Rattus norvegicus: one gene and its partners. The main gene of each other region encodes a partner of the protein of the gene in region 2 in a complex. Links are inferred from orthologs where the notes say so. Each region holds a gene or a part of one and is shown on either strand. Other genes may lie near its edges.

Region 1 (5,480 bases), on a different chromosome or scaffold from region 2:
ATTCATTGGTTAAGACACGTGCTGGGCCGGGACTTTGACGCAGCGGTAAAGCCTTGTCTATATACTTATACAGGGCCTAGCTGAAAACAGAGGCCTATTAAAATTAATTGCGTTCTTTTTTAAAAATTTACTTTTAATTACATGTACATGGGCACATGCAGGTGTCTGTGTAGACCAGAAGAAAATGTCAGCTTCTGGGGAATCTGCCTGATGTGGGTGCTGGGAACCGAACCTGGGTCTTCTGAAAAAGCAACCAGGGCTCTTCACCACTGAGTCATCTCTACAGCCTCTCATAAGATTCTTTATGCTGGAGATGCTGACTGAACAAAGCCAGAAGTCTCTATTCTCGTGTAGAGTCCACTCTGTTTAGGGCGCTGAACAGATAACAACATAGTAAGTAGATAGAAGCCGGGTATGAAGGCTCACAACTGGGACCCTACACACTGGAGGTGTGAGCAGGGTTGATGACGTTCAAAGGCAGTCTGGGTCAGCTTGGCTCGCAGGGTGAGACCCTGTCTAAAGAACAAAGCATAACTCAAAAAGGAGGTAAATTCTATAGAAAATAGAGTGGAGAAAGATTGTAAAATGCACAAGTGCCATTCTCTCTCTCTCTCTCTCTCTCTCTTCTGGTACAAGGGACTGAATCTAGGATCTTGTGCATGCTAAACAAGCACTCTTCTGTCGAGCCATATCCCAGCCCTATTATGACTTTTTATTTCATTTTTTAAAAGATTTTTAAAGGTTAGCATGTTTATGCATTTTTTGCATGAGTGCTTTGTCTGCATGTAGGCCTGCACACCAGAGGATGGCATTGGATTCCATTATGGATGGTGTGGTGATTTGAATATGCTTGGCCCATGGGAAGTGGCACTTTTAGGAGGTGAAGCCTTGTTGGAGGAGGTGTGGCCTTGTTAGAGGAAGTGTGTCACTGTGGAGGTGGGACTTTGAGGTCTCACATATATGCTTAAGTCTGCTGGTTTGATACAGAGTCTCCTCCTGGCCGCCTTCTGATCAAGAGCTCTCAGCTCCTTCAGCACCATATCTGCCTTTCAGACATGGTAATGGACTGAACCTCTGAAACTGTAAGCCAGTCCCAATTAAAGAGTTGCCTTGGTCATCGTGTCTCTTCATGGTAATATCCGACAGCCCCAAAGTCCATATTTCTCCAAACAAAAACATGATCAGGCTTGTCAGAGCAACACCCCCGTCCTGGTACCAACTTCTGTCTTAGTTAAGGTTTCGTTGCTGTGAAGAGACACCATGGGCCAAGAATTTCAAACCACCATGTGAGCCACCACGTGACTGCTAGGGATGGAACTCAGAGCCTCTGGGAGAGCAGGCAGTGCTCTGAGCCATTAAATTCATCTCTTCAACCCCAGAATTTACTTTTAATTTTGGGGAGAGGGGCATCTTGTAAATTTCTGAAGCTGCACTTGAACTCACTCAGTTGTAGCCCAGGAAGGCCGTAGCCTTGTTATTCTGCTGCCTCAGGGTCCTAGGTAGAAGTAGCTGGGCCTACAGGTCTGAATTGTAGGCCCAGCACAAATGACAATTTTAAACTGGTTGTTTAGGTGAAATGCCACCTGACCAAAGGTATGCAGGGAAGAAGGACGTCGGCCATGAGTGTTGCTCAGGCATTAGCAATTCATTCTCAAAGTATAGATGGGCAAACCCAGGTCTACTTGCCTCAGAGCTCCCTCACCTTCCACCCCACATCAGAGCGGGAGAAGATACGGGGTCAGGGGAAAGCAACATGTCTCCTGCTGAACCTTCACCATGGCCCTTTGCGATCTCGATTCCCTCTTTTCTGATAGGGAACCGCATCCACCAGGTGACTGGTCTGGACCCCGAAAGACTGACTAACCTGCACACCCTGGAGCTTCGAGCGAACCAGCTGGAAACCACAATAGGAATCAACCTTCCCAAGCTAAAGAATCTCTACCTGGTAGCTCATGGGTCCTCGGGTGGCACAGGGAAGGGAGCAGCCTTGGCTTCTGGTAGGCTTAGCTAGTAGCTTCAGCACCGTGGTGGTGACAAGGCCCACACGGGGTCTGATACTGTGGAAACATAAAATTAAAACAGTAAGTACAGGCTCATGCTTACAGTGGTAGCGCTTGGGAGGCTGGGTAAGGAGGACTGCTGAGAGCTAGAGGCCAGCCTGGGCTACAGAATAAGACCCTGTCTCTCAGAGGGAAGCGAGTAGGAAAGAGGGAGAGAGGAAGGCAGGGCTACAATATATGATGTGTGATATAGGTTGTTGCAAAACGTGCTTTTCAGGTACAGAGAATGGGCAAAGAAATAAATATCCATTTATTTATTGAGATGGTTTTTTTTTTTTCTCTTTTGTTCAGAGCTGGGGACCGAACCCAGGGCCTTGCGCTTGCTAGGCAAGCGCTCTACCACTGAGCTAAATCCCCAACCCCCCTATTGAGATGGTTTTATGTAGCCCAGGTTAACCTGAAATCACTGTGTAACTGAGGATGACCTTGAACTCCCCTGATCCTTCTGCCTCCACCTCCCAAGTGCCAGAATTCTAGTATGTATCATTATAATGTGTGTGTGTGTGTGTGTGTGTGTGTGTGTGTGTGTGTGTGTGTGTGTGTTGGTTTTTCTTTTAAGACAGAGTTTCTCTGTGTAACTCTGGCTATCCTGGAACTCTCTCTGTAGACCAGGCTGGCCTTGAACTCAGAGATCCAACTGCCTCTGCCTCTGCCTCCCACGTGCTGGAATTAAAGGCGTGCGCCACCACTGCCTGGCTCGCCTGATCTTTTTTTTTTTTTTTTCTATTCTTTTTTTCAGTGCTGGGGACCAAACCCAGGGCCTTGCGCTTGCTAGGCAAGCGCTCTACCACTGAGCCAAATCCCCAACCCCTCGCCTGATCTTTTTATGTCTGCAGAAACCGAAGACCCCGAATGTATTTGCCTAGTCGCTGTTCTATTGCTGTGAAGACACACCATGGTCAAGGCGACTGCCCAGCTAACATCGAATAGTTTTGTTTTATGTGTTTATGTCTGCGCGCACACACACCGTGTGTGCATACAGGTGTGCAACTGTGCTGTGTGTGGAAGCCCAAGGAGAACTTCAAGCATTTTCCTCAGTGGCTTTTGACCATATGTTTTGAGACAGGGTCTCTCAGAGAACCTGAAACTTCACTAATTAATTAGCTTGGCCTAATTAATTAGCTCCAGGGGTCTTGAGTGTCTCTACCCCAATAGCAGGCATTACAGACTGTGTACCCCGCCCCACCCCAACACAAGATTGGCTTTTTATGTGAGTGCTGGGGACAAACACGAGTCCTCATGCTTGCATGACAAGAATTTTACTGACCAAGCCTTGCCCATGGCCCATGTTCTGTTGTTGTTAAGGGTCATACCATGTAGCCCTGACTGGCCTATATGAGTCGGGCTGGCCTAGAACTCACAGCAGTCCTCTTGTCTCAGTCTTCTAAGTGCCAGGATATGTATGTGCCACCAGATCTTGTTTTTATTATTTTCCTTAAAAAATATTTTCATGTGTGTGTTTTATCTACATGTATGTGTGTTTGTGTAGCACCATGTGTGTGCCTGGTGCCCCTAGAGATCAGGAGTGAGGCTAGATCCCCTGAAACTGGAGTTACAGGCAGGTTGTGTGCTGTCACGGGTGCTGGGAACGAAACCTGGGTCTTCTAAAAGAACAGTAGATGCTCTTAACTGCTGACCCATTGCTCTGGCCCCAAGTTCACTTTTATTTTTGAGACAGGATCTCCCTGCACAGCCTACACTGGCCTGACTCCTTAACAGGGTCAGGCTTTCCTTCTGATCCATTCTCCAAGTGAGTGCTGGGGTCACACTGGGCACCACCATACCAGCCAGGCTCTAAGTTCTGTCCATTTACCCTGGATGACATGCTGACTTCTGGAACGTACTACAGCCATTTCTCTGTTAGTGAGTGGGGCTCCTGGGACAAGGGCAGATCTAATCAGCTCTTCTGGAATTAGAGAGCCTTGATGGGATGAATAGATGGGTCTGTCTTGGTTTTGCTTCTTTTGTATTGGGGTTTGAAACCAGTGTCTTATACGTGCTGTAGGAGAGCTCTACCTCCAAGGCTTCCTCTCTGGCCCAGAAACATCTCTCCTGACAGATTTATTGTTGTTCTGGGAAATCTAGCTTTTGGGCTTCTTTGTCTATTTTTTTAAAAATTTATTAATTTATTATGTATACAGCATTCTGCCCGCCTGTATATCTGCAAACTGAAAGAAGGCAGTGGATCCCATTACTGATGGTTGTGAGCCACCATGTTGCTGCTGGGAATTGAACTCAGGACCTCTGAGCCATCTCTCCAGCCCTTCTTTTTCTTTTTTTTTAGTTAAAATTGCTTTACAATTACTTCTAACTTTGTGTGCGGGGCAAGCACAGCACGGCCTGAGAATGAGCGACAAGCATTGGCTCTCGTTCCACCGTGTGGGTACAGGGGAATGAACTCAGGTTGTTGGGCATGGCTGCCAACACCTTCCTCACTGAGCAGTCCCGATGACCCCTTTGTCTTTTTTATTGGGGGGGGAAGGGGTGATATTTGAGCTAAGGTAGTAGTCCAGGCAGGCCTGGAGACTTCCTGAGGTAGCTCAGGTTTGCTTCTACACCATGACACTTTTCCTGCTTCTGTCTCCTGAATACTACTAGGATTTTGGAGGATGGGCCACCACACCTAGGTCTGCACTTCTTCCTTCTCTACATCGCACCATCTGTCCCCACTCCCCTTCTCTACACCCACACTGCTTGCTACTCGCTACTCAGATTTCTCCTTGGCTTCATCCTTTTCCTGCTCCCTCTCTCTGCTCCCCACTCTGGGTTAATGTTACCATCTGCTGGGACGTAGGCTCAAAACCTGCTGAAGAAGGTGGAAGGCCTGGAAAACTTGAGCAACCTGACCACTCTGCATCTGCGAGACAACCAGATTGAAACTCTGGACGGCTTCTCCAAGGAAATGAAGTCTCTGCAGTACCTCAACTTGAGGTATGCGTGCGCATCCTCGTGAAGACCTGCCTCCCACCTGTCCGTCACCTCTCCCAGGGACCGGCAGCTGGGTCCTGGCCTTGTCCTTCTGCTCTTGTCCTCTACTGTCCTTTTTTCCGAATTTGCCTTGAAGTGCAACACAAAGGTCTTCGCATTAATTCAATCTATAATGAATAAGACTATACTGTTTTTAGTGGGGCTTTTTCTGTGTTTTAGAAACACCTAAAAGAATCAGAAGTGAACCATTTTCCTCTTTTTCCTTTCTTTTCTGTTTTGTATTGTTTTTCCCATTTTTTTTTCCTGTGTAGCCCAGCTGTCCTGGTTTGTAGACCAGGCTGGCTTCGAAATCACGGAGCTCAACCTGCCTCTCCTCTGCCTGCTCAGTGCTGGGAATGAAGGCACCGCCACCGTCCACCACCACGGGGCTTCTTTCTTCACTGCGATGTTCCCCAGGCTGGCCCAGTCTCTCGGACTCAGCCTCCTGCACAG
Region 2 (6,022 bases):
CTTACTGTGAAACAGGCAAGGGGATTGCTGGAGTGACAGAAAGGCCCCACCTCAAAAGAAATTACTAAAATTTAGAAATAGCTAGGTGTTTATAATGGAAAGGAAAAGTTACCTGAAGCTTCGGAGTTCCATCATGTACTCTGACAGTGGGTGGGAAGTGTAGCTGCAGAGGACACCTCTGTCCCTGCCCATGCACGGGAGTGGAGAGCATTTTTACTGGAAGGCCTGAAACCTCTCCTCGTGCCATGAGCCATCGCTTTGGGATGGAGGCTCATAAAAGACACGTCAGCAACCACTTTATGCCCATTGCCTGCATGCCTGAGAATGAAAGGGTTTTCTCCTTTATGATAATGAGATCTTTTGGTTTTCGGGGCCATTTCTAGTTTTTCTGTTTCTAAGTTCAAGTTTTTCAAAAGCTTTCAACATTTTTCTCATCTCCACCCAGTTATTAATACATTGTTTAATGTAGGAGCAGTGGGAAAATGTTCTTTGAGCCACAGACATCTTTAATCTGTGAAGTTGAGTCTTCATCAAAGGAAATCAATACTCAGAAATGGTTATCACCTTATATCTACTCATTGGAAACACAGTGATTAGGAGAGTTGATGTGTCAAGTGACTGAAGATGTCTGCCTCCAAGGACCACAAGTGGAGAACAGATAGTAACCAAAAGAGGGATGAGAGAGAAGTCAGCCGCCTGAGCCAGCACACAGGACTGGGGAGACACCGGGACCCAGCTGCTTCCTCAGTGGGTTCTATAGGTCTGCACACATACACACCTAATCCTCCATCAGCCTCCTGCTGCCTGCTGCCTTTATCTCAGGTAGACAGTCACCAAGGCACAGGCCTGTCTGCATCAGTTTACATTGTTAAGACTTTTAAAAAAAATGTATATAACAGTGCCTAAAGTTTCTGTTCCCGTTCATTTATGCTTTAGGACATACTTGAAGGAGGAAGGAGCTTCTTGCTCAGGAACCACAGTCATTTGTTCTTTGCTTAGGAGGCCATTTCCTTGCCACAGTGTGGTAAAGCAGACAACTCCCACATGTAGACAGTGGATCCTTCACAATGGTGCATGGATGCTGAAAATGAAGTAACAGAATGAAAAGCAAACATTCATTTACAGATATGTACAAATGAATATTTCTAGTTCTAAGTAAAACCCCAAATGCTAATTTCTGTAGGGTAAAAAAATTTAGTTCAATGTCAAGCTAGGCATACATTTTTTAGATACAACAGCAAAATACAAGTTTAATTGTCACAATTTATACCTATGAGACATTTAAGAATAAAAGGACACCTGCAAACCCAGATTGGAGGTTTTACAATCTTTTCAGCTTCACAGGTCTTGTGGCTAATTTTTGCGGTGGTGGTAGTGGTGTTGGTGTGGGTGGGGACAGACTTGTTGCTTCTTGAAACACTAAATGTTGTCCGGGATGTCTCCAGTTCCCAGCTCAAATGAACCCCATACTGAGTCGCAGAAATTTTGTAGCACACTAGCCCCCACATCAGATTTTAACTATGTCAAGTTTTATCCGATTATGTTGTTTTTCTTTTAATAAAAGTTAACCTACCGAGCTACATAATGGACATTATTATTTACTCCTTTATACCTACTCCCCACCCCCGTTAAGGATAAATTATACTGCTAAGTCATCAGAAAATTCTGTAGTCCCCAGATAAACGCACATTTCTGTTTACAGTGTCTGAGAATCCTTGTTTGCCCATTCTATCAGTTTGTTATTGTTGTTGTTGTTTTTTTGTTTTTTTTGTTTTTTTTCTTTTCCCAAAGCTGCTTTGGTTTGGAAATGTGTATTCATACAGTGGGTGTGTGGACCAAATGGATTCACAGATGGTGACGCCAAGCCGAGACCCTGGTCTATCCCGAAGACAGTTTGCGATCTCGTGGGGTCCAGATTAGCTCAGCCTCTGAATTTTAGGAAAACAAGCTGTTTTGTTGCACTCTCCCCTCTGTAGAAACTTTGGTCACCGCGACTACGGGCCGGACGTCCGCCCCTTGCTCGCCGAGGCTGTGCGCCTGCGCAGCTCAGGTTGCCTGGAAACCGCACGCCACAATCGCGCGCTCCAGGTGCTGTGGGCGGTTGGGCCTCAGTTTCCAGGAGGGGGCGGAGCAGCCGGTTAGAAGCGGAGCCCGCCGAGGCCCTCCCCGCCGCCCGCTGCGCTGCGCTGACCCTGCCTCTCCCCACGCAGCACAGCGGATCGTCCCCGGCCGCCGCGGTCTGCCCAGAGCGATGCCGCTGCCCGACACCATGTTCTGCGCGCAGCAGATCCACATCCCCCCGGAGCTGCCGGACATCCTCAAGCAGTTCACCAAGGCTGCCATCCGTACGCAGCCGGCGGACGTGCTGCAGTGGTCGGCAGGGTAAGGCCGGCCTGGGAACCTCACCCGGTTACCGAGTACAGACGCCTACATTGTGGGTGTAGACTAACAAAGCTTGCACACCAACCGCGGGGCTAAAAGAGGCTCCGCTGAGTTAAAAAAAAAGTTACAGGGATGTTACAGTGAAACCGCTCAGAACAACTGACTTAAGTTCCTTCCCCCAACCCCACTGAGGCTGAGGTATGCGAAGGCTGCCACCTGAGAAAATTGGCTAGCACAGCTCACAGCTAGCAAACCTTCACACTCTAGAAATAAGGACACGAACCCTGGGCCTGGCCAGTATAGTCATACCACTCATTCTTTCGGTTTTTACACGAGAACTCTGCCACTGTTTAAATCACGAGAATAAATATTTTTAGCCAATTTTTGCTAACTTTCTCTGAACTGTATAACTAAGGTGGTTTCATTTCTTTTGGCTGTTTTAATAACTCAACTTATTTTACCTATTTTTTTTTTTTTTTGGTTCTTTTTTTTTTTTTTCGGAGCTGGGGACCGAACCCAGGGCCTTACGCTTCCTAGGCAAGCGCTCTACCACTGAGCTAAATCCCCAACCCCTAACTCAACTTATTTTAAAACAACATCTCTGGAGGTAAAAACCCCAAATCATCTGAAGCAGGCAACAGGCTTTTGGGGTGGCGGCTTCCATATTTGATTCAGCTGTTGGAACTGCACTCTAATGGCCATTCTACAATCCATGGGTTCTCTTCTGCCTTACTCTCCTTGAGGATTCCTGTGATGCATTTAGGAGCCATACAGTTTGTTCAGGATAGCTCTCCACCTAAAGTCCTTAATCGTGCAAAGATGTACCTCTCACAGGCCCCAGGGAAAGGACCTGGATGTCTCTTATTTAGCTCTGTCAGGGCCACCTTTGACTGTTCTCTCAATGTCCCCTCTACGATATTACGCTTAAGCCTTAGAGAAAGGGCTAGCTTTTTATGAAAGTTTATGTGCACTCCGAGACTCTGCCCCAACCGGGCACATTTGATAATACTTCCGAGAGAGTTTTTTGAGGCCTTGCTCAAGAACTCCATGATTCATTTGATTGGTGATGAGGGCGACTATAGGATAGGTATGAGTTTGCCAAGCCACAAATGGGGCCTGGACCGATAGGTCCACAGTTCTGCATCTGATTCTCTCATGGCTGTCCGAACCACTCCTTAGATCATTAACAAAACCACAGAGAGGAGCACAAGTCTTAGTTGTAGGCAGAGTTGACCCTGAGGGGTGAAGAGAGAGGGGGTTATCTTTGATCTACACAGTCTCCACTTTCCGCATACACCCATGCTACAGACTTAGAGGTTTCTGGGGACTCATATACACACCTGTTGCCCTGGTGCTTACTTTCACGTACATTTTCCTGTACAAATTCTTTGGTTAACGACTGTGGCTCAAGACCCTGCCTGGCACAAGGCCTCCCTCTGGTCAAATCTGATAGAAATCCACCCGAGTTGTTGCCCTGAGCCATTTCTGTGCCTCCTTTGCCTCCAGCCTAAGCATTTTCAGTGACCTGGAATGGAACGATTGGGGGTGGGAGGGTGGCAGGCAGGACGGGGAAAGATGGAAAGCGGGAAGTAGATGACCTTTGTGTATGCCCACACCACCTCCAAGTGAACGTGTAGAGCTGTCTAATGCCACATAGCCCAGAAAGCAGCTGTTGAAAAGGAATAGCCTATGTTGGGGATTTAGCTCAGTGGTAGAGCGCTTGCCTCGCAAACGCAAGGCCCTGGGTTCGGTCCCCAGCTCCGAAAAAAAAAAAGAAAAAGAAAAAAAAAAAAAAAAAGAGTGTCTCAGAAAAGGAATAGCCTTAGGCATGGAGTGCTGGAGAGATGGGGCACTGTTAAAAGTATTTGCTTGCTTTCCTGATGGACCTGACTTGAACTCCTAGCACCCACATTACAGAGTTTACAGCCAACTGTGACTCCAGTTCCTGGACATGGACATCTGCACCTACACACACACACATACACACACACACAACACACACACACACACACACACACACACACACAAAAATAAAAATATTGGGGTTGGGGATTTAGCTCAGTGGTAGAGCGCTTGCCTAGCAAGCACAAGTCCCTGGGTTCGGTCCTCAGCTCCAAAAAAAAAAAAAAAAAAAATATATATATATATATATATATATATATATATATATATATGTATAAAACAAAGAAACACAGCACTCAGAAGAAGGGAGATGAACCACAGTTCAGTGAGGCTCTCCTGGTTCCCATGTAAGCTCTCTGTCACTTGGTGCTTCCAGGACCCTCAGATAGCAATCAGCATGTCTGCTTTGCAGACAGAGAACCCACAGTGCACAGTGAAGTTCAAGGAGGTTGTCCAGCCAAGGTCCCGGGATTTGAGTGTGGTCCGCTGGCTTTGGGAGCTCCCAGCACATCTGCTGGGGTGACGAGAGAGTGTTGCCTCTGTGCTGATCTCTTCAGTGATGTCTCTCCTTCCAGGTATTTTTCAGCCCTGTCCCGAGGAGACCCACTTCCCGTAAAGGACAGAATTGAAATGCCTGTGGCTACACAGAAGACTGACACAGGCCTGACCCAGGGACTCCTGAAAGTCCTGCACAAGCAGGTGGGTGAACCTCTTCACTGCCCATGCTGCTGGTACCTCGTTGTGTCTCTTGAAACATTGGGATGCCTCCCCACTGTCCCCAGGCCTGCTCTGCCATGTTTAAATCTGACGTTATTTCTTGGAAAGAACCCCAAGAGCTAGCTTTTTCATGTATAGATTTTATTTTTATTTTGTGAATGTGTGTTGGAGATCAACAAACCACCAGAGATTTGTTTCATTTTTTTTTTTTTTTGGAGAGATAGAAACATGCTATGTAGTCCCAGAGATCCTCAATCTTGAGGTGACCCTCGTAACCCAGCGTCCTGAGTGTTAGGAGTACAGGTGGGCATTCTGCTCTAGTTTTGAAGTTAGTTTTGAACTTGGAGATATTCTGGACAGTAGGAACCATGTGCTCCCCATGGGAGTGCTCATTTCAGGAGGCCACTGTGGGGTGTGTTTTCTTCATTGACTCCTCTTTCTCCACTCACCCTTTCCTGTAAGTGCTCCCTTATTCTCGTGTGTGTGTGTGTGTGTGTGTGTGTGTGTGTGTGTGTGTGCGCGCGCGAGTGCGCATGTGCAGGAGGGAATCCCCAGCTGAGCTGAGGAGCTGAGGAGTCTCGGTCCCCTCCTTCATGTCTTCTCTTCTTCTTTTCATTGCTTCCTGTCTTCCTGTCTTCTTCCGACGAGAAAGTCACACCAGGTGGAAAATCTCATGAACGAGATTTATTAGAGTGTCCAGTATGGAGGGATGAATCCGAGGATGGCTACCCTCTGCTCCTGGGAGCGGAGAGCAATGAGCTAGACAAAGAGGCAGTGCTTTTATATAGGATTTCCGAGAGGTGGAGCTTCTCAGGACAGAGGTTTCCAGATTGAGGGGTGGTGGGATTTCAAGTCCTGATCTTGGGGAGCTCAGGGACTGGGGGTTTTCCTGCTCAGGGATTGGCCGCTTTTTTCACCCCCCTTTTCCCTGCATCAGGCCCATGGGTTAGGGTGGAAAGTCTCTCCCTGCTGAAGCCAGCTTTTGCTGAGGTGTCGTCTCTGTGGCACTGCTGTGGGGAGG
Region 3 (6,240 bases), on a different chromosome or scaffold from region 2:
CACTGCTTAAGATTAGCTCTCCTGGAACTTGCTCTGCAAACTGAACTTCAACTTAGAGATGTACTTGTCTCAGTGTCCTGAGTTCTGGGATTATAGGTATGTACCATCACACCTGGACCTAAGCTTTCCTTTACTTAGAACTTGCTCCGTAGCAGACTGACCTTGAACTCAGGTATCTGTCTCTCTGTCCTCTCTTCTCTTCTCTTCTCTTTTCTCCTCTCCTCTCCTCTCCTCTCCTCTCCTCTCCTCTCCTCTCCTCTCTTCTCCTTTCTCCTTCTTCTCCTTTCTTCTTCTTCTTCTTCTTCTTCTTCTTCTTCTTCTTCTTCTTCTTCTTCTTCTTCTTCTTCTTCTTCTTCTTCTTCTTCTTCTTCTCTTCCTCTCTCTCTCTCTCTCCCCCCCCCCCCCGCCCGGGATTAAAGACATGTACCATAATGCCTGGACCTAAGTTTTTCATGGTCACTGTTCCTCAAGATCTGGATCAAAAGCATGTGTCATTCTACATCAAGATCCGAATCAAGCCTGTCTCTTCCAACCTTAAGACATGGATCACAGGTGTACTCTCCATTTCTGGACTGTAGTTCATTCTAGACTAAAAGTCAAAATGAAAACAATAACCAGGTAACAATACCTAACGTGATATATAACTATTCCTTGTCCAACTGCAAACACATAAACAATAAGCTTAGCTGGGTGGGATCTTGTCCTGAGGTCACCACTCCCTTAATCTATTTAATATACTTGAACGCAGGATTTCATTCCATTGCACTTCCTGGTGCCCATTTATTATTTGAACCATACATCTTGTAGTTTTTCTTTTTAGGCTTGCTATGCTTAATCAGAGCAATCTTCATGACAGTAATCCAGAGGACAAAGTCTATGCTGGGTGTTCCTGAGACTTTCTTTATCAGTGTGATTAATCTGAGTCCTTTCACCTGAGTCTCAGACAGACTCTTCAGACAAGGGAAAAGAGCAGCAACATTCTTCACCAAAGCATAAGAAAGATCTCCAGAGTTCAAATCACCAATATCTTCTATATTCCTACTAGGACGAACCATTAAGCCTCACTTGAAGCATTCCATGGCTTTCCAAATCCAAAGTCCCAAAAGCCACATTCCTCCAGCCAAAACCATGGTATCACAGCGATCCTCAGTCTCTGGTATCAGCTTCTGTGTTAGTCAGTGCCCGTGACCAAGGCCACTATTATAAGGACAACACTTAATTGGGGTTGGCTTGCATTTTCAGAGTTTCAGTTCATTATCCATAAAGCAGGACCATGGCAGTATCCAGGCAGGCATTGCAGGAGAGAAGCTGAGAATTCTACATCTTAATGTGAAGGCCTCCAGGAGAAGATTGGCATCCTCCTCAGGCAGCTAGGAAGAAGCTCTCAAAGCCCACTTTCAGAGTGACGCACTTCTTCCAACAAGGCCACACCTCCTAACAGTGCCACTCCCTGGACCAAGCATATTCAAACCACCACAGCTTCCCTTAAGACTCACCTCAAGCACGTCCCTGTCATCATATATCCTGGGCTCTTACCCCACTGAATATCCTGCCATATTCTAGCTATCACACTGTGCTTTCCCATCTCAATAATCCTTTCCTCTCTACTCTTGGAACATACCTCCTCCTTCGAGCCACAGATCATGTCTGGCTCTGGAGTTTTGTCAAGCAGTACAAGGGAGTTTCTCCTACTTCAAGTAGCTCATACAGCCCTTGTCATGCTGCCTACAAAGTGTATAAGAGAGTGTTAGTATGTGTGTGCATGCATGCGCATGTGTGTGCCCTGCTGTCTCTCCATGGTGGCAAGTAATCAAACGTGTGCCTACTCTCAGCTGTTCCCCAGTCTTTTCAGGTATGAAGGCAGATACGTGAGTATTTTTTAGGGTGACTATTTCTATTTATAGTTATATAGGATAACAGACCAAACAAATGATCCCACCCAAGCCCAGAATTGTGACCCAATGAGATTAAAAGACCAGAATATGTTCACCATTGCAGTTCTCGACTCCTGTCTCAAAGGTGCAGACTCAAGACTGGAGTGACATGTGAACGTGGTTATTCACACGTTATTATTATAGTCAGACTGAAAGTGCTGTCTGAATGTCCTGGCAGGGGATCAATTACATACAACACCATGGAATCCAGCCACAATATAAGGGGCTGGAAATGCTCTCTAAAATAGGCAGTGGTTTCCTAGTGAGGCACAATGCAGGAGGAAAAGGGAGATGTAGAAATTGCTCCTGCTTCCAAAGGAATATACACGTGTATGTATAGTGTAGCCCTAAGAACGACTGGAGCTGGCACAAATACGCTGATTTCCAACTAGATTGGCACTGGTGTCCTAATCACAGAGAGACAAACACGGCAACTGACTGGGCTGTGTCTTCACGGTGCTTCTTCTGTGGGAAATTCTCTATAGATAAGATCACCACATGGACGTATCAGTGTCATTTATATACAACATGGAATACACTCTTCCTGCTGCTCCAAAAACATAGGATCTGGGGCTCTGGCAGCTGCTTAGCGTTCTCCGTGGGGCTTTCATGAGGTCCCTCTGTCATCTCTGCAACATACATTTCCTGGTCAGGTTAGGAAACTACTAGCCATCTCTTCTGTCCTAAGAAGTGTTATTTCCCAGCAAACACCAGTGCTCATCCAGCTTCACAGAAGAAAGTCCGCTCCCACAGAAACATCTGGAGCAGCTGCTCTGAGACAATGGAGGAGGTTCTCTGCCAGGACCTGGGAAGAGTGCTGGATTCGGCACTCAAAACCACCGCAGACCTAATTTCTGAGAAACAATGAATAATTGTCTTATATATATTTGTGCTAGCAAGTAACCTGCTTATCTAAAAGTAAATTTCAATCAGGCAGCCACCAACCTAGACACTTAGATTAGTTTTCCTATTGGGTGGCTAGAGGGCGGGAGAAGGAGGGGGGGAGGAAGAAGAGAAAGAGGAGGAGCCGGAAGAGAGGAGGAAGGAGAAGGAGTCCTTGCGCTCCAAAGGCTCTTACAGGAGAACTAACCCTCCCTCGGATTCTGAGTTGAGACCTACTTGACTCTCAAGGTGAAAATTTTAGAACTGCTTCTGCAGAGACACTAGAGGGCCGGTTCGAAGGAAAACGCTCCAGCCTCCTTGGTGCACGCATCCGATGCACGTTCTGGCCACACGCCAGTGAGTCGCGTCCCGTTGCCTGGCAACGAGAGCACGCTCTAGTGTAGAGCTAAGGTTCCATTGCAGCCCAAGTAGTGGAGGCAAAGGGAAATGAAAGGAGAATTCGCACTCTAGGGGAGGGGGTGCACTCTCGATAGAGCCAGGAACGCGCACTGTAGGGGAGGGGGCACGCAGATGGGAGAACCAGATTTATGGGAAAGGAAACACTGTGGAGAAACAGCGGGAGGAACCCAGCAGACACGGGGACTCTTCTTAGATAGGAGCCTTGTGGAGCAGCAGATCTTTGAAGTCAGGAGAGACACTTTCAAGGCTGCAGGCTTGTTGGCTTGGTAATTTTAAGACCTTTCAGAGTGAACTCACGGGCTGGAGAGATGGCTCAGCCGTTAAAGGCTAGGCTCACAACCAAAATATCAGAGTGAACTCACACACAAGCAACTTCAGCTAGCCCAAAGACACCCTCCACCAGGCTCTAGCTTGCACTCTCCCCTGGTGTGCGTGGTTAGTTCTTGTCAATGTGACACAAACCTAGATATACCTGGGGGCAGGAAATCTCAAATGAAGAATTGTCTCCATCAGATTGACTCGTGGGCGTGTCTGGGAGGCATTTTCTTGGTTGCTAATTATGGGCATATGTCCACTATGGGGAGTGCTTGTCCCTGAGAAGGCAGGCTTGGGCTGTGTAGAAAAGGTAGCCGAATCAGCCAGAGAACGAAAGCCTTCCTTTCATGGTTACTGTTTCACGCTCACTCTCCCATTGCGTTGCTGGCTTGGCTTTCCTTGATGATAGACTGAGTGTAATCTGTAAACCAAATAAATTCTTCCCCCCTCCCCCCGGGTCATAGTGTTTACCAGAGCAACAAAAAGCAAACAATGGGCCTGGCATTGCTCGGTGGTAGAGGCTTGCATAAATGCAAGAAGGGACGCTGATGGATCAACAGAGTCTGAGCCCTTCCTTTGCCCACCCGCCCCCAACATCAGAGCACTCAGACATCTTTACTCGGTACTGAATGTGGGACAAGTGCCAGGGGTGGTATCCTCAGAGGGCTTGTCGCGTTTAAGCAGTGCAGCAGTCACTCAGTAATCCAGGCATGGAGAGACGCTCTGGCAGTGCATTGGTGATTCTGTGCTGGGATTCTACGAGAATAGCGAGAGGATCAGTGACTGGGGGTTGCACTGGGGATTTCGTCGAGCCACACATATATTCAATCTAAGATATCGGAAGTTGCACTTCACCAAACAACAACTCCTCGTCCGATCACATGAAGCAGCAGGGATGTGGAAAACTTAATCCACACAAACCCTTCTGTATGTTCCGTTTCCCTGTCTTCTGACTTCTAGAAGCTGTCTCTGGACATGATCTTGACTTTCATGCTCCTTCTTCCATGTGTTTTGTCACTCTGCCACCCTCCACGTCTGGCCTTACTGACACCTCTGGCAATTACAGCTGTGCCTATGTGGCGCTTTCCGTGAGAATGAGCCCGAGAGGCTCAGATATTTGAATGCTTGGTTGACAGTTGCTGCAACTCTTTTGAAAGGCTTCGGAGATGTCTTGTTGGAGGAGGTGTGTCACTGGGGGTGGACTTTGAGGTTTCAAAAGTCCACAGCAGGCTCGCTCTGTCTGCCCCTACCTCCAACGTGAAGACAAGCTTTTGAGAACTGTTCCAGCACCGTGCCTGCTTGTGCCCATGCTCCCAATCCCATGGCGGCTGTGATTCCCCCTCTAAAACTGCAAAGCTTCAAGTTAAGTGCTTTCTTTTGTAAACCGTCTTGATCGTGGTATCTCTTCACCACCAATAGAAAAGTAACTGAGAGGTCCCGCTTGTATAACACACACTCCTTATTTAAGATCCTTAATCACAATTCCAAAGCCCCCTTTATCATACAACATAACATCCACAGGTTCCGGGTTTGAGATTATGGGTTCCTGTGGAAGCAAAAATGTAGCACTGGAATAAGCCTTCAAGATGGCTCCTGTGTCTACATTGTCAGAGTCTTACTTCCTGGCATAATAAACTGTCTCTGGCTGCTTATATTTTTTTTTGCCCCAACCCTGGAGCCAAACTTTTCCTTAAGGATCTACGATCCCTTAATTCATGAACAATATTTAATCCCCCTTTGCAGCTGGGTATGGTGGTGCACACCTCGCATCCATCACTGGGAAGGGATCAGCAGGAAAAAGCATGTTCAACCATGGTGGGCTACCTAGGGAGTTGCTGGCAAGCCTAGCACAGTGAAACCCCGCCTCATGGAGAAAAACAAAGAAACAAAGAGTGCTGGCAGCATTCACTGCTCCTGGGGTATTTGCGATTCTAGACTCTGATATCAGTGAGGGGTAAAATGTATTTATATTTTCTATACCAATGTCTAGTTATTCAGTCGTGAGCTGAAAAACTGGGAATATGGAGGCTTGGTGCTAGGAACATATGTTGACAAAATCTTGTTCCGTAATAGCTCCTGTTTCTTAAATTCTTGCTGTATGCCAGGCTCAGTGCCTTTCACGTGATCAGTAGCTCCATTCGCTCCTTCCATATTGTGAGGTATGTATTTTACTTCTGTTTTCTAAAAGGTGCCAAGACTCTGAGACACCAAGCAACTTGCTGACGAGCACACCGCTGTAAGTGGCAACACCAAGACGTGGGCTGTCTGGTGCAGGTCTCTGTGCTGCTGTGGCTCTGCTCTGGTACTGCAACTTCTGTGTCAGACGACATTATCTGCCACTCTTGACACCTATTAGGAAATGCAGGATCATCCGCTCTCCCTAAAGCCGTGCTGTGGTATTGCATGTCAGATGAGGCTTGGCAGGCCCATCATTTGCAGGCCCATCATTTTCTTCCTCCTTCTCTCTCCCTGTAAAGTAAATGAGCCTCTGCTGTCTATGTCATAGAATAGCTTCCAACCTCACAATAGCACAGCTTGCTGTATACACAGAGTTTCTCTCCAGGGCCTTATTTTCTCTGTACTTAAGAGGGAATATTGTGTGGGTTGGTTAAAAGTCTTCAGCACCCTTGACTAATAATGAGCCAGGCCCTTTCAACACTGATGACCACTGGGACTCCTGGTCTGACGT
Region 4 (5,978 bases), on a different chromosome or scaffold from region 2:
GAAGCGGTTAAGAGCACTGACTGCTCTTCCAGAGATCCTGAGTTCAATTCCCAGCAACCACAGGGTGGCTCACAACCATCTGTAACTTCAGTTCTAAGGGATCTGACGCCCTCTTCTGGTGACTGAAGACCGCTACAGTGTACTCACATACATAAAATAAGTACATAAACTTTTTAAAAAAGTGGGCAATTGGGGCTGGGGATTTAGCTCAGTGGTAGAGCGCTTACCTAGGAAGCGCAAGGCCCTGGGTTCGGTCCCCAGCTCCGAAAAAAAAGAACCAAAAAAAAAAAAAGTGGGCAATTGAGGAAGACATCCAGTATCAACCTCTGCCCCCCAATATACACATGCATGCACTCACACCTGCACATACATAGAAAGGGAGACACATAGAGCGAGAGTGAGAGAGAGAGATACATTGATATTGATCACATTTATGACAATTGTACCACTCTTTTTTTAAGTGTTTTTTAATTAAGATTTTATTTTTATTATGCATATGTGTGGATTTCTGTGTGTGGCTATGTGCAGATGAGTGCAGTTGGCCACAGAAGACAGAAGAGGGTGTCAGTTATCCACTGGGGCTGGAGTTATTGGCTGTTGTAAGCCCAACCTGGATGCTGGGACTGAACTCAGGTTTGGCTCAGTCCGGTGAGATCTCAGTACCTGCTCTAAACTGCTGCCTAGCAGGTAATGTGCTGAACTAATGTAATGCACCAACAGGGAAACTGGGTAGGGTATATGAGAACATTTTAATCTTGTTTTTCTGAAAATATAAAACTATCCTTTAATCTTAAAAAAAAAATCAGACAAGAGCTGGGCAGTAGTGGTGCACACTTTTATTCCCAGCGCCCAGGAGGAGGCAGAGGTAGGTCTGAATTTGAGGCCAGCCTGGTCTACAGAGTGAGTTCCAGGACAGTCAGTGTGTACAGAGAAACCCTGTCTCGAAAATTCAAAAACCGAAATAAATAATCAGCCAAATAAATTTGTTTTTAGAAAAAAAAATACTTATTCCATAGCCTAAGCTGGTCTTATGCCACACTCAACTTGTTCTCAAAAACAAAACAAAACAAAACAAAACAAAAAACAAATACTTTTAAGAGAGACAAGCTCTCTAGGTAGATCTAGCTGTCCTGGTGAACAGTATGTTTAGAGGATAAATTTACTGTGCTAGGCTTGTAAAAACAGTTGTTTGTAACTTGTGTAAGCCATGAGGAAGTTGCTCCCACCTTGAATATACCAGGTGAGCTAGCCTGAGACGGATGGACCGCTTCCTGGTACAGTTGGGCCATTGTTTAAAAATTCCTGATTGTTGGGCTGGAGAGATGGCTCAGAGGTTAAGAGCATGGACTGCTCTTCCAGAGGTCCTGAGTTCAATTCCCAGCAACCACGTGGTGGCTCACAACCATCTGTAAAGAGATCTGATACCCTCTTCTGGTATGTCTGAAGACAGCTACAGTGTACTTGTATATGATAAATAAATAAATCTTTAAAAAAAATTGCTGATTGTTGCAAAACCGTTCCCTGGCTCAATTACTCATACAAGGTCACAAGGTCAAACAGGCTAACTGCTAAGCTCTGCTTTTCTGTGAAACGTCAGCTTGCTTGATGGCGGAGGCACCTGCTGGATGTCTGCTACAAAATCAAGCCTTGCCTACACCCAAACACGATATGAATTAATTTGCCCCCCAAAATTATAACTTTGTGGATCTTTCCTTTATAATCCTTTGGCTAACAATAGCCAGAGTCTTACCTCGATTAATTTTCTCTGGTTTGGTCCTGGCCAGTTTTTGTTTGTTTGTTTTGTTTTTTTAATAAAAAGTCTCTAATTTGGGGTTGGGGATTTAGCTCAGTGGTAGAGCGCTTGCCTAGCAAGCGTAAGGCCCTGGGTTCGGTCCCAGCTCCGAAAAAAAGAAAAAAGAAAAAGAGGAAAAAAAAAGTCTCTACTAAAACCAAAACTGAGTCAGTGAATCTCTGAATGACCCCAGACCCACAACAAATTTACTATGTACATCAGACTATCCCCCAGCCCACAATTGCCTCTGCCGAGTGCTGGGATTAAAGATGTTGCCCCACTACAACCGGCTTTATTCTGAAGATTTTAAAGGCTGTGGCTGTACTAAAACATAAGCAAAAAGGCGCCGGGGACTCCAGTTTCTTAGCTGTGTGACCTTTATTGAGATCACGGAACCAGCTATGAGCGCCCCACAGCCGTTTCCTCAAGATAGAAAGACTACAATTCCCAGGGTGCCACTCGTGGTTGTCAGGAGCAACCACAGAACGCCGACGAACAGACGCTGGAGTCTGAGGAAAAACTGACCCACTGCTACCAGCCATGGGGATGGATTACTATGCTGTGCTCCAGGTCAATCGCAACTCAGAGGATGCCCAGATCAAGAAGGCGTAAGTGGGTGGGATCCTAGCCCAGCAAGTGCAGAGGCAGCCCCGCCCTGATGCCAGCCAAATAGTTTCCCTGCGCAGTTTAGGGTAGGAAAGGGGCACCTCTCTTCCCTTGTATGCCCTATCTGACTTCGTGCTGGTCAGGACACGAACTGGAAATTCAGACACACCCTCAGTGCATCAGGGGGCTTCCAATGCCCCAAACTCCTGTCCCTTAGCTCTTCCTGGGTCATGTCCGAATTCCTAGCTATGAAATAAGGACAAAGGACCATTTGGAACTTATCTTGAGTCTCATGGAGAGCCACAGGCATGTGGACCAGAAATGACTGGGACAAGTGGATGTTACAGTTTTCATTTTGGCCATCACATGGGTTTTTGTCACTGACTGATCTCTGTCTCTGAACACCTCTGTCAAGTCTCAGGGACTTTGTGACAGTCTAGATATGGGTGAGATGGTCCATGTCTTTAACCCCCAAACAGTGAGTCAGTGGCTAGCTTGAGCCACATAGCAAGGCCCTGTTTGTAAAAGAGAAGAAGTGTGTGTGTGTGTCTGTGTGTATGTGTGTGTGTGTGTGTGTGTATTTAGAGGGACATCTAGGATAAAGGTCAGGCTATGTTTCTGAAATTTTTGATCTTTTAAAGTTTTTCTTTGAAAAGAAGTTTTGGGCAAATATTTATGGAGCCCTCATCTTATGTGTATTGTTATAAAGGGAGGCGTACCCGGTGCAGCAGAGGCTTGTGTTAAGAGGCGAGGGGCTTCTAAGGAGGCTGTCCAGATAATTAAAGCCAAAGGGTGAGGCTTGAAGGAGGACTAAGGCTCCTGAGAGGGCTGGACAGGAGACACTGAGTTTGGAAATCAGTTGTGTCATCCAAGGTAAAGACAAAAGGAAGCATCTGAGGCAACTGGAGGTTTGGAGGCACACTAGCTGCTTGTATTGAACATGTGGGTGCTGTTCTGAGAGCCTTCTGTCATTGCTTCATTTAATCCTCACAGCCACCCTGAGAGGAAAATGCCACTGTCATCCCACGGGCTTGTATGTGGCAAATGGAATAAGAAATCAGACATGATCCCTTCTTCCCTGGGCCAGGTCTTGCTTGTGTGGACTGAAGGGGAGGGATAAGTGGGTGTCCAGTGGGGATGGAGAAATCAGATAAATTCATTAAACAATTGAGACAGTTCTGTGTAGTGTGTGATGTCACCCACTGCTCAGGGCTTTTACTGGCCAGTGGTATTCATCAAGTAAAAAGTTACCATGAGAGAAAGCAGGTGACCAGTGGGGCTCGTCAAAGGATGGCTACCGTGGCAAATAGCTAAGCATAGCCTAGTTACCAGAAGACCAATGTGCTGGCTAGTTTTAGGTCAACTCAACATAAGCTAGAGTCATTTGGGAAGAGAGATTCTCAATTGATGAAATGTCCCCACCCTTCTGGCCTGTAGGCAAGGTGCATTTTCTTAATTAGTGATTGATTATGGGTGGTGCCATCCCTGGGCTAGTGGTCCTGGGTGCTTTAAGAAAGCAGGTTGACCAAGTCACAGAGTTACCCTCTGTGCTCATAAGCAGCACCCCTCCATGGTGTCTGCATCAGCTCCTGCCTCCAGGTTCCCTCCTTGAGTTTCTGCCCTGACTTCCTTTGATGATGGAAGATTTGATTTGGTTGCAGACATGTAAGATACAATAAACCCCTCCAGCTGCTTTTGGTCACGGTGTTTTAGCACAGCTATAGAAACCCCTAGGACAGCAAATATAACATACTCAGGCAATTCAACCTTTCTGAGCCTCAGCTTCTCGTCTCTGAGAGATAGAGAGAGAGAGAGAGAGAGAGAGAGAGAGAGAGAGAGAGAGAGAGAGAGAACTGTGGAGTAGGAGCAGAGTACCCAGATGGCCCGTCTGATAAAGCAGCTGCATGCAGAGGATCCAAGCTGGACCCCCAGAACCCACATGAAGAAAGCTGTGTTTTGCTTGTAACCTGGCTCTGGGGAGTTGGACAAGGGTGGTGAATTCCGGGGGCTACCTGAACAGACAGCCTAGCCTACTTGGAGAGTTCCAGGTTACTGAGAGACTGTGTTAATAAATGAGGTGGGTGGAGGAACAGGAGAGGTGTGTCACAGCCATCTGAAATGGGATCTGATGACCTCTTCTGGTGTGTCTGAAGACAGCTACAGTGTACTTACATTCATATAATAAATAATTCCTTTTTAAAAAAAGATTTCCGGCTGTGGCAGTGGGTGGGTGTGGGAATGGAGGTCCTGTTTGGGCTCTGGATCTGGTAGAACTGCAAGGCCAGGGAGAAGACCTGAAATACAGGGGTGGGGCACAGATGTCTGTGGCTCAGGGAAGTGGGCTGGTAGGAAATGGGCATCTGCTGTGTGGGAGATGAGCTCAGACTGCAGGCTGTGAAATGAGAAGCTGCAGAGCACCAGACGCCTATGTGCTAGGGCTGGGCAGAGCGGGTGCCCTGATCAGACCCAGCAGGGGCTGCATGGTACCAAGCCAAGATTCCCTGCCCTTCCCTGCAGGTTTCCTTGGTCGAATGCCTCCCTGTGTGCACCTCTTCCTAAAGGGGAGGGAAACAAGAGGATAGAAGGAGAGAGTGGTTTCGGTGCTTATGTAACAGTCCCCTTCCTATGTGCCCACTCCAGAGGGCTCAGATCCCTTAATTGGTCTCAGCTCCTGCCAGGTCAGATGCACATCCTTCAGGGTTCACTTCAGCTCCCCATTTTCACTCGGAAGGTCAGAACACCCCTTCCCCTGCATGACTGTCTTTTGTGGTGGTCTCCATCCTGCGCCTTAGTGAATGATCCCTTTAAACTCCACAGATCATCCACTCGATCTCTCTTGACTGTAGCCTCAGACGCTGCAGTCGTCCCTGGGAAGAGTGGTGGGATGGCAGATATGAAAGTGGGGCAAGCATGAGCCCAGAGGTGGAAGAGAGTGCTAGGGCCTAATGGGACCCGAGGGCCGTAACACACTCGAGAAGCCTGTGTCAGACATGATCCTCTGCAAAGTAGACACAAGACAGAGTTAGATGAACTCCGTACCACAGGAACCAATTCTGGGGAAAACAGGGAGACTGCAGACCGCAGTGTAGGCCCCAGACTTGTGACTAGAAAGGGAAGGAGGAGTTATGTAGGGAGGGGAGCTAAGCTTGGCTTGTGGGGGAGTCTTCGAGCCAAGTAGGTAGAGGATGTTGGGGCTTGAACATGAAGTGTTCGTTGGTTAAAGGCTTTGTTCCTAGCAGGTTATGCCAGTGGGAAACAACTGGCTCAGGAGGGTGTAAATGTCATTAATTTGTCAATCAATCAATTAATTAATGGGTTAATCCCTTCATATTGGAATGGGCTCTTACAAGGTAGGGGCTACTTAGAAGAAGGTGGTCTCCGGAGTTGGCCTTTGATGTCTTGTCCCCACCCCCACCCCCATGTTTCTCTTCCCTTCCCTTCCCTTTCCCTCTTGTGTGTCCCCATTGCCCCTTTTCTCCCTTTTCACACCCATTCCACTCTTTTCTCCCTTTCCTCTCCCACTTCTCCTTCTGTCTATCCTTCCTGGTTGCCATGCAGGCAAGCCGTTTGGCTCCTGCCA
Region 5 (6,018 bases), on a different chromosome or scaffold from region 2:
GCCTAGCATTCGCTGCTATGTATCTGCTAATTGCTTGTTATGTTCTTGTTTTGAGACTGGGTCTCTCTGTGTAGTCTTGGGATGGCCCAGAACTCACAGGGATTCACCTCCCTTTGCCTCCTGAGTGCTTGGATTAAAGGTGTGTGCTACTGTGCCAAACTCTTGAGTTTTAATTTATAATAAACACAAGCCACTTAATTACAAAGTCTATTTATCAGTGATCGTTTTTTAATATGGATTTAAAGAATTAGAAGATGGCTCAGTGAGCAGAGGAGCATTGGTAGCTCAAGTGTCAGGGCCTGGGTTTGGATCCCCAGAATTTCCCTAATGGCCAACATTGTAGAGTGACTTTGTAACCCCTGTATACCTCTAGAGAGGGTAGTTGGAGATGGGAGGCACCTTAGAGGCCTATGACCCATTAGCCTTGATTTTGCAGTAGCAAACAAGAGAGCCTGTTCCAAACAACAAAAAAGGTAAGGCCTGGCGCCTGAGGTAACTTGTATACACACATAAACACACATACATAAACACACACACAATACACACACACATACAAATACACACATATAACCACACTACACACACATAACCACACACACATATACCTATATACCACCACCACATACATAAACACCCCCACACCTCCCCAAACATATAACCACACCACACAACACACACATATCCACATATCCATTTACTCTACCTACCACCACAAGCAAACACATCCTCACATACAACCACACCACACACAGAGAGAGAGAGAGAGAGAGAGAGAGAGAGAGAGAGAGAGAGAGAGAGACAAAGAGAGGGAGACAGAGAGAGAGACAGAGAGATTTTTTTAAAGGACTTAGCCAGGCAGTGGTGACACACACCTTTAATCCCAGTACTTTGAGTTTGAGGCCAGCCTGGTCTACAGAGTGGGTTCCAGAACAGCCAGGGCTACCCAGAAAAACCCCGTCTTGAAAAATCAAAAATAAATGGGATAAATAAATAACTTTAAACATCTTCAGTGTGCAGGGTACAGAAGTCAGAGTTCCCTCACCTTTCTAAAAATAAACCTGTAACACTTAAATCAAGCTAGGCATAGTGAGTGGTACATTGTGTGTTATCCCAGCACTCATGAGCCTGCAGCAGAATAACTGAAGCCACAGGAGCTACTTAATGAAGTCATCTTAGAAAACAAAACACAGGAGAACACCTTAATCTGAGTTCTCATGAAGGAGAGGCAGGAGGTCACCTGTGCTGGAGGACATCCTGGACTATGTATCAAGAGACTTCCTTTGTTCACTTTGGATTTTTTTTTCTTTTCTTTTTTTCGGAGCTGGGGACCGAACCCAGGGCCTTGCGCTTGCTAGGCAAGTGCTCTACCACTGAGCTAAATCCCCAACCCCCACTTTGGATTTTTAAACAGAGTCTCATGTAGCCAAGGTTAGCCTCCAACTCACTATGTAGCTGGGGATAACCTCATTAAATGTCCGGTCCTCCTCCTTTAGTCTTCTGAGCACTGGGACTTCAGGGTCTGCACTGCTGGAAGATACGGTTTATACTTGCCAGGCACATGGTCCACCAGCTGAGCTGCACATCCACCTGAGAACTTGAGTTATTTGCTTGTTTGTTCAGACAGGGTTTCTCTGTGTAGCCTTGGCTGTCCTAGAACTTACTATGTAGAGCAGAGATCTGCCTGCCTCTGCCATCTCTCTGGGATGAGAACCTAGATTTTTAAGAATCTTTTTTCCTCAAGTGTTTGTTTATCTATTTTTTTCTTCTAGAAGAAGCTACAAACACAATTTACTATTTTTGGTGGAGAGGGGTGGTAGGGATTGAACTCACAGCCTTATGCTTGCTAAGCCTGTACTCCAGCACTGGGCTACACCCTGGCCCCACCTAGAAGTTTAATTTTTAAATATTTAGATCCATTTATAGCTACCTCAGAAAAAAAAGGACTCAAATTTCATAACATTTATTAAAGACTTTGTGTTCACCTGAGTATTTTCTGTGCCATCTCAACTCTGTCAAAATCTCCCCACTATGTCATCTCTGTGGGTGACACATGCACACGTCTGTGTCCGTGTGTATATGCACACATGTGGGGGTGCAGATGCCACATGTGTGGAGCCAGAGTCCACATTGGGTGCCAGCCGCACTTGCTCACCACTTTGCGTCTCCCACTACCTCAAGCTGGCCAAGTTGGCAAGACTACTTGGTCCTCCTGCCCTGCCGCCCCAGACGGAGATTATATCCGGGTGCTGCCATCACACCTGGCTTTTACATGGATGCTGGGAATTTAAACTCATGTCCTTGTGCTTGCTCAGCAAAAAATAGATAATATGATACTATATAAGAATTTTAAGTCAGTGTTACAAGTTTCACTATGTAACCTTGGCTGGCTAGGAACTTGCCTTGAACCCAACAGAAACACACATCTCTGCTTCTTCAGTGCTGGGATGAAAAGCACAGCACTCAGCTACATATGCATTTAAAAGAATAAAAATAATGTTTTATTCTCTTAGAATTGTAGTTCAAGTGAAAGTCAAAGAAAATATTACAAGCACTAAGTTCCACCTCATCTATTTGTACACTTGTCTTTTAGTTAGAGATCTTGTCTACTAGAGGACAGTTAAGAACTCTGTGAAGCCCAAGATAGCTGGGAACTCAAGATCCTCCAGTCTTACCCTGTCTAGGGTTGGGATCACAGGTCTATGTCACTACTTCCAAGGCCTGCATCCCCGTACCCCAGGCTGGTCTGGGACTCACTGTGAAGTCCAAGTTGAGCTCTCGATGTCCTCTGTGGTGCTTGGCTTCTTTGACCCTGTTTACCAACTACAGAACAAATGTTGACCTTAAAACACTAAATGTTTGCTGTGTGTGGTGGTGCACACATTTAATCCCAACACTTGGGAGGAAGAGGCATTTGGATCTCTTTGAGTTCCAGGCCAGTCTGGTCTACAAGTGAGTTCCAAGCCAGCCAGGGCTATACAGAGAAGCCATTTCTTGAAAACAAAAACAAAAAGAAAAAACAAAACAAAACAAAAAAACCTACTGACACTAGGAACCAAAGTATACACAGGAATACTGCACATAATTCAGAAGGGATAAGTAGATTCTGGTTTAATGATCCAGAATGTTAGAAACACCCAGGAGAAAGAATGTAGTTAAGTCATTGCCTCTCCCTAGAGCTGACCTGCAGAGGAAAAGAAAAAGGCAGCATGCTTCTTTTATGTCTTATTCTATATCCTTACAAGTGTGAAAACTTGTCTGTTATTTGTAACGTGTTTTTGAGACAGGTCTCACAGAGCCCAGGCTGAACTTGGAAGTCAGTACAGGGCTGACCTGCCTCCATTATCTGATTCCGAGATTACAGGCATGTGTGCTTACATGCGCAGTTTATATATAACCTTTATATTTATAAATGTAAATTTAATGTTACTAAGGATCTAAACGGGTGGCTACATTTATATAAGTATAGTGAAAACTAATAAAAGAGACGCCAGAAGTTACCTGTATAATAGTGAATCCGGATCTCAAGATAATATCGCGTATCTCTTCTTCTTTATCAACAATATCTGGCTTGATAAGGGCTAGGGTTTTTTCTACATATATCTGAGGCAGGGGCATTGATACCTCCATTCTGGCGTTTTCCGGTACAATTTACAAATCTCCTGACCAGCTATCCGCAGCAACGACACGAGTCCCCGTCCCAAAATCAGCCTGTGGCAAAATCTGGTACTAGATTTGATTAATTTATAAAAATGGAAAGCACTATGCTTTTCTACGTATGCTTTTGCAAGAATACGACTTATACAGAGAAAGGGGAGCCCTAGCCGCTCGACTGAGGCTGGAGGCTGGATGGCATCAGTGTTGCTCTCCAGGAGTACGGGAAGGCCCTAGCCGGCTGCCCTAGCGAAGGGTCCCCACCTTGTAGGGACCACTTTGTACAGGCTTAGGCATGACAGGAAGGCAGGGTCCCAAAGTTCTCGGGAAATCTCCACCTGAGACCCTCCCAGCACTGGCCTCAGTTCAGGTGTTGTCAGAGCCCGTTCGTTGCTAAGAGACCGAAGCTGGTTTCCTAACGGTGGCTGCAGAGGCCCAATCCCAGCCGCGTTTTTTTTGTTTTTGTTTTTTTTTTTGTTTTTTTGTTTTTTCTTTTTCCTTTTTCTTTTTTTCGGAGCTGGGGATCGAACCCAGGGCCTTGCGCTTCCTAGGCAAGCGCTCTACCACTGAGCTAAATCCCCAACCCCCCCTTTTTTTTTTTTTTAAGACTCTAGTTAATTTTAACCTAAGGCAATAATTAGCCGTGTACATTTTATTCTCTTTGAGTCTTAGAGTACTACACACATTTCTCTCTCTCTCTCTCTCTCTCTCTCTCTCTCTCTCTCTCTCTCTCTCTCTCTCTCTCTCTCTCTCTCTCTCTCTCTCTCTCTCTGTGTGTGTGTGTGTGTGTGTGTGATATGGAGGTAAGAAAACTTTGTGGAGTCAAGTCCTTCCTGCGTTTCTGTGGTTTCCAGGGACGGAACTCAAGTGGTCTTCTTTACCCTTTGAGCCTTAGCACCAGCTCTTCTCTAATTGATCTCTTTTCTTCATGGTACATGCTTGAAGGATGCATTCCTTATCTGTAAATGAGATAAATCAGACACCTCTCTCGGTCCACTCCAGTTCCTCCTGGTCATTATATGAAAGACTAATGAGAAATTTATTATTTACTCTCTCTTTCCCTCATTCCTTTTCTTTTTCTTTTTTTCTTTCTTTCTGTTTTGGGGTGTGGGTGGTGGTGCTTGGGATCAAACCTGGGCAAACAATTGACCACTGAGCTATATTCCCAGCAAATACCTCCTGTGCTTCACCATATGATGCTGCTCCCATCATCCAGCTTATTTAATCATTTAGAAGCCCCCTTTGCAAGGTCAGGTAGTCTGGGGTTGAGTTCCTCTAATCCCAGCACTCCATGAGAGGCAGAGGCTGGATGCAATGGGGGTTTCCAGGAAAGCCTGGGTTTTGATGCTGTGCCCCAAAAACCAAACAAAATCTTTAGTTTGCAAACTATTTATTTATAGAGAAACAAAAGGTTCAATCAAATTACTTTTAAGTCTATGCAACAAAAATGTGGGCAATATTTACATCATAAATCCAGATCTCGGTACCCTACCCCACCCCTTTAAAAAATACTACATTGCAAGCACCGTTGACTTTTGAGGTAGGAGGTGAGGCATTACTATCCTTATTTGAAAAGTAGTGGAGAAGAGAAGTTTCCACTTCTTCTCTGGCCAGTCCTAAGGAGAGCTGTAACTTGAGAAAGAATCAGACTTGTAGTTCGAAGCTAACAAAACAGGCTTCCTTGGTCCACTGGATTAGCTGCACTCATTCCAGGCTACTCAGGTCCTTCCTTTTATCCAGCCAAGTACTCAGAACCTACAGGAGGAATGCAGACAGGAAGCCATGAACCTTAAAGCCACAGAGCAAGTGTATGAAATTTTATTTATTTTTATTGTCAAACAGATAAAACTACACCTTTTAAAGTTTGATGCTTCCCAAAAGAGAAACCCTTACATGTCTCCTTGAACTCACTATGACTTCTCCTCCAAATATGGGTCGGATACATGTACATTAATGTCAACAGTCGGGGCTGGGGATTTAGCTCAGTGGTAGAGCGCTTACCTAGGAAGTGCAAGGCCCTGGGTTCGGTCCCCAGCTCCGAAAAAAAAAAGAACCAAAAAAAAAAAAAATAATAATGTCAACAGTCACAACAAAAGAGACATGGACAGTGGTCCAACACCTGACTGGCTTTCAGTCTTACAACTCGGGCCTCTGAGAACAGAAGTATCCATCACTTGCTCATCTCCTGCCATTTTTGCTGCTGGCCTTCCCAGACATCCTTATCCCACTGTGTGTTAAATCTGGGCCCATGAGGACAAGGAGCTTCCCAGTCACAAGAGAACACCCACGTTTACCACAGGCTCTGCCATCATCTCTGAAAAGAAACTCTAAGAACACGAGGTCACTTCCATTACATCTTTATTCACA

What was found.
Region 1: Ropn1l (region 2) and Lrrc23 share a complex: the UniProt entries of both Homo sapiens proteins name them as parts of the axonemal radial spoke complex. The link is inferred for Rattus norvegicus from reciprocal best matches to the Homo sapiens genes ROPN1L and LRRC23.
Region 3: Ropn1l (region 2) and Dydc1 share a complex: the UniProt entries of both Homo sapiens proteins name them as parts of the axonemal radial spoke complex. The link is inferred for Rattus norvegicus from reciprocal best matches to the Homo sapiens genes ROPN1L and DYDC1.
Region 4: Ropn1l (region 2) and Dnajb13 share a complex: the UniProt entries of both Homo sapiens proteins name them as parts of the axonemal radial spoke complex. The link is inferred for Rattus norvegicus from reciprocal best matches to the Homo sapiens genes ROPN1L and DNAJB13.
Region 5: Ropn1l (region 2) and Nme5 share a complex: the UniProt entries of both Homo sapiens proteins name them as parts of the axonemal radial spoke complex. The link is inferred for Rattus norvegicus from reciprocal best matches to the Homo sapiens genes ROPN1L and NME5.

The regions. Positions count from the first base shown.
Region 1 is NC_086022.1:159,270,278-159,275,757, reverse strand, and holds part of Lrrc23 (leucine-rich repeat-containing protein 23), read left to right. Parts: exon of another isoform or gene 1-516; intron 517-1,814; coding exon 1,815-1,945; exon of another isoform or gene 1,946-2,061; intron 2,062-4,854; coding exon 4,855-4,991; intron 4,992-5,299; coding exon of another isoform or gene 5,300-5,387; exon of another isoform or gene 5,388-5,480. UniProt on the Homo sapiens protein: Essential for sperm motility and male fertility. Plays an important role in the proper assembly of the third radial spoke (RS3) head and the bridge structure between RS2 and RS3 in the sperm flagella.
Region 2 is NC_086020.1:84,160,446-84,166,467, reverse strand, and holds the start of Ropn1l (ropporin-1-like protein), read left to right. Parts: upstream 1-2,251; coding exon 2,252-2,382; intron 2,383-4,859; coding exon 4,860-4,983; intron 4,984-6,022. UniProt on the Homo sapiens protein: Functions as part of axonemal radial spoke complexes that play an important part in the motility of sperm and cilia. Important for male fertility.
Region 3 is NC_086034.1:16,972,747-16,978,986, reverse strand, and holds the start of Dydc1 (DPY30 domain-containing protein 1), read right to left. Parts: upstream 3,956-6,240; 5' UTR 3,709-3,955; intron 3,208-3,708; exon of another isoform or gene 2,953-3,207; intron 1-2,952. UniProt on the Homo sapiens protein: Functions as part of axonemal radial spoke complexes that play an important part in the motility of sperm and cilia. Plays a crucial role during acrosome biogenesis.
Region 4 is NC_086019.1:164,271,442-164,277,419, reverse strand, and holds the start of Dnajb13 (dnaJ homolog subfamily B member 13), read left to right. Parts: upstream 1-2,326; 5' UTR 2,327-2,332; coding exon 2,333-2,400; intron 2,401-5,978. UniProt on the Homo sapiens protein: Functions as part of axonemal radial spoke complexes that play an important part in the motility of sperm and cilia.
Region 5 is NC_086036.1:26,450,800-26,456,817, forward strand, and holds the start of Nme5 (NME/NM23 family member 5), read right to left. Parts: upstream 4,030-6,018; 5' UTR 3,628-4,029; coding exon 3,499-3,627; intron 1-3,498. Other genes in the region: Brd8 (bromodomain-containing protein 8), read right to left, coding at 5,356-5,406. UniProt on the Homo sapiens protein: Functions as part of axonemal radial spoke complexes that play an important part in the motility of sperm and cilia. Does not seem to have nucleoside diphosphate kinase (NDPK) activity.